3 linked regions of the Xenopus tropicalis genome follow. The protein of the gene in region 2 purifies or fractionates together with the protein of the main gene of each other region. This does not show direct contact. Links are inferred from orthologs where the notes say so. Each region holds a gene or a part of one and is shown on either strand. Other genes may lie near its edges.

What was found.
Region 1: the proteins of psmb2 (region 2) and psme2 purify together in Homo sapiens (affinity purification with mass spectrometry; 3 studies listed by BioGRID and IntAct, counting the BioPlex papers as one, with this or other methods). This does not show direct contact. The link is inferred for Xenopus tropicalis from reciprocal best matches to the Homo sapiens genes PSMB2 and PSME2.
Region 3: the proteins of psmb2 (region 2) and psme3 fractionate together in Homo sapiens (co-fractionation; 3 studies listed by BioGRID and IntAct, with this or other methods). This does not show direct contact. The link is inferred for Xenopus tropicalis from reciprocal best matches to the Homo sapiens genes PSMB2 and PSME3.

Annotation. Positions count from the first base shown.
Region 1 is NC_030677.2:139,415,206-139,418,962, reverse strand, and holds the start of psme2 (proteasome activator complex subunit 2), read right to left. Parts: upstream 2,863-3,757; 5' UTR 2,785-2,862; coding exon 2,737-2,784; intron 488-2,736; coding exon 455-487; intron 1-454. UniProt on the Homo sapiens protein: Implicated in immunoproteasome assembly and required for efficient antigen processing. The PA28 activator complex enhances the generation of class I binding peptides by altering the cleavage pattern of the proteasome.
Region 2 is NC_030678.2:81,977,734-81,981,490, reverse strand, and holds the start of psmb2 (proteasome subunit beta type-2), read right to left. Parts: upstream 2,921-3,757; 5' UTR 2,846-2,920; coding exon 2,755-2,845; intron 347-2,754; coding exon 224-346; intron 1-223. UniProt on the Homo sapiens protein: Non-catalytic component of the 20S core proteasome complex involved in the proteolytic degradation of most intracellular proteins. This complex plays numerous essential roles within the cell by associating with different regulatory particles.
Region 3 is NC_030686.2:21,570,663-21,574,319, forward strand, and holds part of psme3 (proteasome activator complex subunit 3), read right to left. Parts: coding exon 3,621-3,657; intron 3,503-3,620; coding exon 3,416-3,502; intron 1,847-3,415; coding exon 1,766-1,846; 3' UTR 1-1,765. UniProt on the Homo sapiens protein: Subunit of the 11S REG-gamma (also called PA28-gamma) proteasome regulator, a doughnut-shaped homoheptamer which associates with the proteasome. 11S REG-gamma activates the trypsin-like catalytic subunit of the proteasome but inhibits the chymotrypsin-like and postglutamyl-preferring (PGPH) subunits.

The sequences.
Region 1 (3,757 bases), on a different chromosome or scaffold from region 2:
AGTTTTCTAAATTGAATCTACTACACATATGTGAGGGTTGAGCACTACAGGTGTTCTGTTGGTTTTTCCATGCCAATTCATTGTTTTTCTAAAAATAACTATATTTACTTGGGGCTGCCTAATATATTGGTGAAATATTGTAAATGTGAAAAAATAATGTTGAATGATGTATGTATGTATTTATTTTTTCACCCATCTGGCATATCGTTCTATTGTAATGCAGGAATGTACTTAGGTAGGGATTGTCTGGTTTACCAGATCAAAGTCGCTGATATTGGTGCACTAATTTTTTTTAAGAAGATCACTATTGCAGCAATGCTGCATTCATCACACAAGAATCCTATGTAAGTTTACAAAGCATTTTTATATTGTTCTGTACATGCTTTTAAATGAAAGATGTGACTTTATCTTGACAGTGACAAGATATTAAAGAAGAATAAAAAAAAAAAATTACCTGACTGAATAGCGCTTCACGGAACCCATTAACCTGTAAGAAGAAAGAGAATGGATTTTTGAACATTTTTTGTAAACATACAAAAATGTCCTCAGATCTAGGGAGTGTATCCTGAGAGCCATAGCCCAGACTAATATATACTGCAACTTTTTCTTTGCTGCTTTTAATATTAGTTGGTACAGTGATGGTCACAAACATTTGTGCCAAACACCATATGTTAAGTAGGCATGCCTAGGTTTTGGGATGGTGAAGTGATTTGTGAAGTATACAGGATCTAGAGGAATGGTGCTTCCCCAAAAGACTTTATTACATAATTTAATAATACTCTGAAATGCACATGGTCCTTGCACTGTGGCAGATTTGGGTGAAATATTGACTATTGTATAGTGTAGTCTTCTGTAACACAGTAGCCAACTTGTAGCCAAAACCATTAAATTACAGTTTTAGAATAAGGGTTACATTGGCACTCTTATGCTTAAATCAGTGCTCTGGATTGGAAGTAGATTGGGAAGAGGTGTGTAAACATTAGTAACTCTCCACACATACAAGTAATTGAACTGTAGCAGTTCTTAACCCTTAAACTGAGGAGTTAGGCACCTATCACCTAACCTTACATTTTCTGTATGTATAGAACTATAAGCACACCTACTACATGAATAAGTGTATTTTTACAAAATAGACAGCAGAGGGACCTCTAGTTACAGAGATGCAGATATTTTTTCTCTGCTTAATCGTGTGAAAAGGTTTTCTCTTTTTACTCATTTGTGCTGATGACTCTGCAAGTTTTTCCACCATCTTGGATTGATTGTTTATTTCACATTACTCAAATAGCAGACTCATTTTGACTAAATTCATATATTGTTTTACAAAATGCAACTGATAAAGAAAAATGTGATCTCTGAAACAGAAGAAAAATCAGGCAAAATAAATTTTTTAATCAATTACATGCTTTTATATCTTCATATTTGCTCGATATTTGTGTGGTCAATGATATCTAATGGTCCATATTCAGAAACCTTTTTTTTATATTACAACTTATTTACGTAACTAGTGGGAGGTCCTATCAGATATCTATATATGTGTCTATTTGTTCAGTTGTAACATGATTCTTTTGCAACAGTAATTTTGAATCTGTGCAAGCAAGGACAAGGCTTGTTTCCAACTACAAGATATTTATAGAAACGACAACAAGGAAAGCTGGCTAATTTCTGGGCTTTTGTGCATCCCGGGGTCTGCCATCAAGAGGCTACCTAGCTCTGGGTTCAGCAAAATATTTAATGAGTAAATGTTAAGACAATTTATCTGCATGTGTAATTTACTAACACAAGTTTTACAGCAATCAAATAAGCTGTCTTTGTGGAACAAAATGTATTTTTGTAATACAATGTGTAAAGAGAATTTTTGGTATTAAGGGCAACTATCTCATAAGATAGAATGTTTCCTACTACACTACAGCTGCGGGCTGATGGAGCCCACACTTCAATTTGTGGAAACAAAAGTATCACCTGTATCCAGCCAAGTACTGTGGCTCAAGGGTTCTTTTAAAAATAAAATTGTATTTGGCATTAATATTAAATAGGTAGTTCATTTTAAAAATGAAATTGTATTGTAAGAAAATGTACAGAGGCTGCAAACCCTAGCAACCAAAGGTTTGCGTGTTCCATACATTGCGCCTTATTATATTCCATAATTTTTACCAATGTTTCGGCTCCTTTAAGATGCATGTATATTGGAGTACGGGCCACCTTTGTTGTATGTATTATATTTTTTGATCCTTGGCACTCAGCTTTAAGGAAGAGCAACTTTCAATGCAAATCATATTTAAAAATGTTATTTTATATATCTATATATATTATGCAGAAATAGAAGGTCTTTTATTGGCCACTTTTTTGTTCACTTTCAGTTTTGCACCTCAGTGCTGCAGCTTCTTTTCTAAAGTGTTCCTAGTTACAGGAAATTTTCTATTAAAAAATAATGAGAAGCAAAAAAGCAAATGCTCCTTTTAAAATTTTAGTGACTTTGTATATACACACATTTATACATTAGTGCAAGTGAACCTCAGAGTCCAATTCCAGTACTGTGAAATTCCCACACATAGTTGTGACATCACAACCCAACTTTAGAACCTTCTTCCTTCTTACTACCTTCGTATTGTTTTTTTGTATATGCCACATTTGCAGTAATAGGTTAAAAGCTTTTATATATCGACAGGGTACCCTTAAAAAGGCCTGCTGTACTAGCTTTACAGATCTAATAATATAAACCATGACATACACACTTACCTTCTCCTGGTTGTCCTGGGAAATTTTCAGACGAATCACTTTAGCCATAACTGTAGTTAAAGAGGGTCTTTCACCTTCCTCGGCCTCAGCTTCCCTTACTGTTTTGCTGTGTCTGTGTTGGGCCTCTATCACTCTGTTACTTTCAGTTTTACTTTAGCTGCTGCTTTATACAGTAGAGAGGGGAGGGGTTAGTGGCAATAAAAGGGAATTTCCATCAGCTTATAAACTGCACATTGGCAGATGCATTGCGATATAATTTTATTTTGTGAATAACGTGATGTTGATATGACTTAATAGCTTGTTTATTTTAAACCTATGGCCTCAGCAATCTAAAGTGAAAGAATATATTATAACTCTAATTACTTTGTAAAGTGTTTAACTACCTTGATTATTATTTCTGTTATTTTTTTTTGCTGCCTAAACATGGTCTACTATGGAGTAAAATAGGAGCTGGGTGCAGTGCACCCAAGGTTATTGGTAATATAATGTATGATCATGTTGGATATTAGTACAATTTGGCCATACATGGGGACAGCTGAATTACATTGATCCACCTAATCAGAACATAATGCAGAAATGGTTGCTATGCAGTTCCAGGTTAGATGATACCCCCATACATAACCCCAACTGAGCTGTCAGTTGGACAGTTTTTTTTCTCAATATTTTTTTTGACAGATTCAAGTTTACAATACAATGTGAATATATGGGCTCAAAGAGGCCTTCACAAAATAGTAAAAGTTGTTTAAGTATAAAAAACCACTAAAAATATATTAAATTTACCACTTCAAACCACACCCATTTTATCACAATGGTGGTAGTGCAGCAAAAACCAAAATGCTTGGTCCTCACTGTGGGGATATCAACAGTTATTCATATATGAAAGAATTATATTATGTCATATTAAGACACACTCAGAAATCCATATGCCTCCTCCTCCCCTGTGGATATCACAGCAACCCCCAGCAACATAATTACACACCTTAGGGACCATTTAATGGCTGTTTCCAACTACTAACAAACT
Region 2 (3,757 bases):
TACAAATCACTTTTTAGCATAAACATGATGACTGTAGGCAGCTCAGCATTGCTAAAAATTACTTCAATCCTACTTCATGCTAGACCTACAAAAAGGGTAAGAATATGGCTAGCTTCAAGATAAATGCTGCACGTAATCAAGCTGACTGAAATAATCATGCTTTAAGATTGTGAGTGAATGGACGAAGACATGCTAGTATTGACAGTAACTAGATGCAACTTACCGTTCCTCATTTTGTACAACTGCACGTTCTTTTGAATGTACTCTGCAAACTGGACTGTGTCACCTGCCTCTCCTACACACAGCAGCAGGATCTTCTCGCTCATCTTAAACATCTTGTCCACATCTACACAAAACAAACAGAACATAAGTAGCTGTGTCACATAACTGTATTAAAATAAATACCTGACTTCAGCCCAGGTAAATGACCACCAGGAAATTCAAGTTAGAAGGGTCTGTGGCTAAAGGTATATAGCACCTCTATTCATTTAATTTGTTCTTAAAGGGGTTGTTAAACTTATTTGGGTATGGTGCAGACAGAATTCTAAGACTGTGAATTATTAAAGAAAAAGTAAGGTTAAAATCATTGAAAATCATTGTAGGATGCCAAATGTTAAGCACTCCCCAGTGACAATAATAATTTACTTGATACTACGGACAGGTGATCTTGTTAGCAGAAAACTACAATGGCCATGAGTATTTCTGTAAACGCTTATTTTTTTTTCAAAGGTTTTTATTTATGCATTTGTAACATAAAACAACATTAAACATAATGACATTGGTTCTACAAGCGAATTCTGTTCATGTCAGGATATATACAGTGTAAACGCTTATTTAGTGTGATCACCTTCTTCTGATTTCTCATGTCCAGGTCCAGAAGTATGCACCAGCACCACCATATATAGCTTCTGCATTAGTGTGCGGGGCGCCACTGCAATACTGGAGTACTTTGGACAGAAGAAGCTGAAGAAGTTGCTGATAAGGAGCATCTATAGATATTCCCTGGCCCGGGGTATCAGGTAAGCGATTATAATCACTGGGGTTGCCTAATATTTTAGCAAAACCACCCCTCCACTGGCTATACCTTCGCTTGTTCTTCAAAGTTTTTCCCTGCAACTAACAGATTTGAAATTTAAATCTGACTGCCATTTGCTAAATTCTATAGAACCTAGGGAGACCTTTCGTAAGCTAACAGAAGATTAATAATAATAAAGCCTCAAAATCCTTTTTTTTTGGTTGCTGGTGGGGGTCAATGGACACCTCAACCAAACAGCATTTTCAGCTGCTGGCAGGAGAAAGCCAGGCTTAGAAGGATAATAAAGAAAAAAACTTACAACACAAATAATGAAGACAAACAGAAAAGTTGTTTAAAAAAGGTCCACCTATTTACAGCACACTCCAACAGATGTTTATGGCCCAAAGACTGCTAAAAAGCTCAACACACTTCTCTGTATTTCTATACACAGTACATAAAATACTTCAAGTGCATAGCTTATAACATACTAAAAAATACATAAACTTAAACATCCCATTTAAAAATACACCCACAAAGATGTCAGCAGAGCTGGTGAGGTGGATACTGGGAGTTATTAGTTCTGGTATGACTAACATACTGAAGGCTGCCCAAGAGCACCACTAAAGGATGGTGGTAAAAAAAAAAATTCTTGCAAACAATCATAGTTTTTAAGCATTATAATAACCTACATTGTCCAAGAAGTGAGGAAACTTGTTAATAAAAACAAAAATGGAAATAGTTTCAGAAAAAAAATCCAGTGAGGGGAAAAACAGGAAGCACAGATAGATTTTAGCATTTACTTTCACTTTCACTTCTAAACAATTCAAAGCAATGACATGACTGTTTCTTCCATGATTTTCATTCTGTTAATAACAGACAACACCTTTTTGTTATTTCCCTTTTGCCTGTATATGCTACCACACACCTCAGCCCATTTTCCTAAAAACATTGGCTCTTAGAAGGTACAGAATCTAATACCTGAAGCTGCCCAACTGGAAGCCTGTGGGCTGGAGGTGGCCTTCCAACATATTTGTATGAACCACAGGCTGCATATGAGACACAAATGCTGTGCCGTGTATGACATCATTATTTTTATATAATATGTCCCTCGAAAAGATATGGCAGCTAATTGGTTCCAAAATGAGACAGCGCTATTCACGATATATTTTAGCTCTGACAACAGAAATTGCCCAGAATGACACCATTAAATTATATAAAATCATATAACGCTTTCCTGATTAAATGTTTCTCTAATAAAATAACAACCTAAAGTATATAAAGGAACCCAGTATCAATCCTTGTTATTGGCAAACAGTATTTTTATCATTTTTTTTTCATTTGATGGATATTAATCATAAAGCCTGCAACATTCATCAATCTGGATTTTTAAATAAAGTTTCGACTTTTTTTTGTATAAGAACAGAACCACGTACTTTGATCAAACATATAATGATGATGTTATGATCTCTCAGTACAGGTACAGGGTGTAGATACTAATAGTAAGCTTGCTTGCTGCTCATTTATATTGTTCCCGATACAAAGCCTGTAACTGGCTGACTCAGTGTTAGTTATTTGTATTAATAATAATAGCCATAGCTTTTCCATAGTGTATCCTAGTTGCGAGGGGGATCTGGGCCTTGTAGTTTTACGAAAACTTGAGACTAAAGCACACTGTGCTCTTTGGAATGCCCCTGCTTTCCATGGCACTGCCAGAGTCTTGCCCATACAGTGAGACTCACCGTGCTTCATCTTAATGATGCTGTTGGCACACACTGTGTCCGCAGCCACAAGTACGAAGTCATTGCCCTGAATGCCAATCAGATACTCCATATTCCCGCCGCTGTTGGTTACCCGAGTTATGAGTCTCTAATTACGGCCTCGGGACGTTACACAGCAAATCAGCACAAGGCCGGGAATGGGCGCGCTCTACTAACGTCATCAGATATCGCCGGTAACATGATGGGTGCCGGGAAATGTAGTTTTTTTATGTTTTGTCGCTACACGTCTTGTCACTCTTCCTGGTAATTTCAGTATTCCTATTGGCAGAATGCCTCTTTTTTTGTGGTTACGCTGTGTATAGGTGGTTGTACACCAGCAATTGATTGAGCCACTTATCAAACAGTTGAACAATTATGATTAAAATCATTTGACATCTGTTCATGTGCAGGTTCAAAATATCATAATGAGATCTGCAACCTTTTCTTAAAAAAATATAAAATTAGAGCTTGGATAATACGATTAATACGACGTTCACTAACCTACTTCTAGATAAACATGAGAAAATATATAAAAGTCAGGGAGCCATGCTATGCCTATACTTTCCCAAATACCAACCCTATATACTCCTTTGTCATTTTAACCTCAGTTAATTGGTCTACCTATTGGTATACTGTTGAAACACTAAAAAAGTTGGTGTATTAAATGGATAGTCTGTCCTTTTATTTATATTTCATGGGTGGAGAAAGCATGTCAGCCTGCTATATGATATTCTAGTGCAGTCAGACTAGTGCAGTTTAGGTGACAGAAGTTCCAATGGTTTGGTATTAAACTAATGTTGGTGTTTTGTTGACCTCAGCAGCAGTCCTTCCAAGACTTTTTCCACTTGTTTATCATCTTTCTAAATGTACTGTAAAAAAAACAAAAGTTGCTTTGCAATGAAGAGCATGGGCCAAACTGGGGGTAGGCAGAAGAGGCGTGTGCCAATGGGCTATGGGGGGGGGGGGGGGGGGCACTAGGTACGTA
Region 3 (3,657 bases), on a different chromosome or scaffold from region 2:
TGATCTAAATTTTCCTCTCACAGCACAACTGTAGACAAGTGCAAGCTCAGCTTCCACAGGAAGATCCTTGTAGGGTTACCATATCTTTGAATCACAACCAAAGAGTACAGATGTAATTACATAGCTTGTAGCTTGGCTACAGATCAATAGTGCAGGTTTATTTTTATAGGCGACAATGGAAAAAAACACGTTACCATTACAATATTTGAGATATGTAGGCATTAAAACTTTTGCTGGAAGAGCTTTCAGAAACCAGGGACAAAGACTGCCATTGCAAAAACAAATACAATTCAACAATTTTATGCAAAAATAAGCGCTATGATTTCTAACACTATTAAGAAGTTCTGTTTAAAAAAAAGGGATAAGTCAACTTGGCAGTTTGGGCGCTATTCCCCCTGTAAGAATGTAAGACAAAGGAGAGTAAAACAAAAATGTAGCCCAGTGCTGCCCAACTCATTACATCTACAGGGCCAATTATTTCTCATTGGAGGGCCAGATTAAATTAAAATGATGATGCCATATAGTGAAGTCTATAAAGCCTCTGAGAAGACTGGTCATAAAAAGAATTTGGAGGGCCACATTCAGCCTGTGGTCCTATAGCTGACAGCGCTAAGGTAGCCCATAACTTATAAGACATAATACCCCTACGCTAAAGTTTAGAGGAGCAGTTTTATGAAGCCAAATACACAGCTAAGGGGGCTTGTGTGAAAAGCCTGCACTGGACATGTGTCTTCAGGACTTTTCCCAACACAACTTGCCATAGCAAAACACCTTTGATTTGCATTCAAGTAAGGTCTATGGGAAAGACTTAGCCCATGACTACTGGAGCTGATCTCCCACAAGACCGTCCAAAGAGTACTGATGGCGTGATTTGTCTTGATAAAACCGATTCATGACGAAATCCCCACACATGTTGTATATGCCATTAGGCTGAGGCTGGCAATAAAGCAGGCAACATGATAGAAAAAATATATGTTATTCCTGTAGTATATTAATAATTAGGTAAACCTGATACGCAAAAAGATACAGTAGATGACCTTGGCGTGACAGAAGAACTCACTAAGGATCAGGACAGAATCACTAAGATTGTGATACATTCAAGAAAAGTTGCAAAAAGTGACAAGGTCCCTTGGCCCTAAAGGGCTTAAAATGCCTTAGCTTCCATGGGATGTATATTCATATAGGATTATAAAGGTTTCAGGGAAAACAAATGAAAAATTTGTGCTTCTGAATGTCCGAAAAAAAGACAGGTAGCAACCTTCAACTGAAAGCCATATAACATGAATTACACAACGGTCAATCACTGGTCATCTGGTAGCAAACAGCTACTTTACTAGGGTTTTTACAGCTACAAGTAGCCTTTGCCGTAGAGGCTGAATGGCTTTTCTATGGACTATATATGATACACATTAATAAGCATAAGAGATTCAGTTGCAGCATCCTTTTGTAACAGGGGTCAAAGCAAGTTGTGGTTCAGTGCCACTATTGACTGTAGCACCTTGCTCCATAGTACAAGACATTGTTGTATTCTTAGCAAACCCAATAACTGATGTGGCGTATTGATAGCATTGAGATAATCCCTCTATATAGAATTACAGCTGGCAAATGTTGCAAAATTTCAGACATTTTTCCATTAATGGTGGAGAGAATGTCACAAGTTCAAAAAAGGCAATGATGGTCTGCATTTCTCATCAGTTCAAATAAGAAAAAAAAAATCCAAACACTGAGGGGGAAAAAAAGGAAGGCTCCACAAGGATGCACTGATTTAATACAGTGTTTCAGCATTGCTGCTTCTGGGCCTCTTGATTTTTTCAATATTTTTCAGGATCATGTCATGTAATGTTACCTGTCAATTTGTATAAAAAAAAAAACACTTGTTAGACAGCTCAGATCTGATTGGCAGGATGCATTAATAACAGCAATTTGGACCCAAGGTCCAGTCAGACTACTACACTGCCTACAGAGCTACCTTTCTACAAGTTTTAAAACTTATATGAACTATAGCTCCGCTTCAGTCAGAAAGCCCCAGAAAGTGTGTCGGCTGACAGTCAGCCAAGGGGAAGCAGATAGAGGGTTGCCGGTTCTCATAGAATTTTATCTAAAAGGGTTGTTCACCTTTACATTAATGTTTAGTATGTTATAGAATGTCCTATTCCTAGTAACTTTGCAATTGATCTTCATTATTTATTATATATAGTTTTTGAATTACTTGTCTTCCGCTTCTACATATTTTCAGCTTTTAAATGGGGGGGGGGGGGGTCAAACTCTTTTGCTCTGATTTTACAATTTTATTAATATTACTTATCTTTCTATTCAGCCCCCCTCCTATTCACAATCCAAATTCACAATTAAACCACTGCCCGGTTGTGAAGTTAAACAAGACCCCAGCAACCAGATAACTGATTAAATTCCAAACTGGAGAGCTGCTTAACAAAAAGCTAAATAACGCAATAAACAAAAAATTGCAAATTGTCTCAGTGTATTATTGTGTACTAAAAGTTAATTTAAAGGTGAACAACCGCCTTATGGTCTGTTTGTAGAGAACTGACCAAATGGTTGTGTGCGTTGGTACAGTCTATACTTGAACTACAGTTCTACATGAACGACTGACTGAGTAACGCTATGTATTGGGACCATCTGTTTATTAACAACATGGGTTCGTGCTTGTAAAATTTTAATCCGGTCACAGACAGGCTGGACTCTGTCGACCACCACACCCAGCCCGTAATGTCATTGACCTCCAATTCTTCTCTTTCTTCCCTCTGCGGTTTTATATTTATATACTTGCTCCAGCTCTAACCTCTTTGGTGATATCAGACATGACGAGTGCAGCTATATAAGTAATGACAGCATATTGGGTCAAGTTGGGAAAAAGCAGGTAGGGTCAGACACAGGCCAATTTTTTTTTTTTATTATATTATATACCAAAAACATTTTAAAGGAGAAGGAAAGGCTAAGTCACTTGAGGGTGCTAAAATGTTAAGCACCCAAGTGACTTTAATCGCTTACCTCGTACCCCGGGCTGGTGCCCCTGTTAGGAGAAACCAGCCCGGGGTACCTGGAGCGATGCGCTTCATCCTTCCGGCTTCTTTTCGCTGCGACTAACACAATAGGCGCATGCACAGGAGAGTGAAAAGCCGACTCCTCTGTTAAAGTTCGGCTTTTCACTCTACTGCGCATGCGTGCGCGATACAGGAAGGAGGAAGTGCTGCAGCTACCCCGGGCTGGTGTTGTTCCCTCTAAACAGGGGCACCAGCCCAGGGTAAAAGGTATGCGATTCAAGTCACTTGGGGGTACCTAACATTTTGGCACCCCCAAGTAACTTTGCCTTTCCTTCTCCTTTAAAGGCAAACTTCTACTTTCAGGTACAGATATTGAAGTGTCAAAACGTGGCAGAAAATTTTTGCATACTTACATACTGATTTCTTAATTCTGAAATAATTAGTCGTAAGCTGATATATTCTTTCTCATCTATTTCTGTCACTGTACGTCGATAATCTTCCTGCAAGGAAAAATGATGGTGATAAACACTCTATATTATGCTTTATTAGTAACATGAGAAAAAGGTAAGCAGGTAGAAAATTGATCAATGACTGCCACCCTAAGAGCTCTGTACTTACCACATGTGGGTATTTAGCTATTTTGGAAACCAGTTTT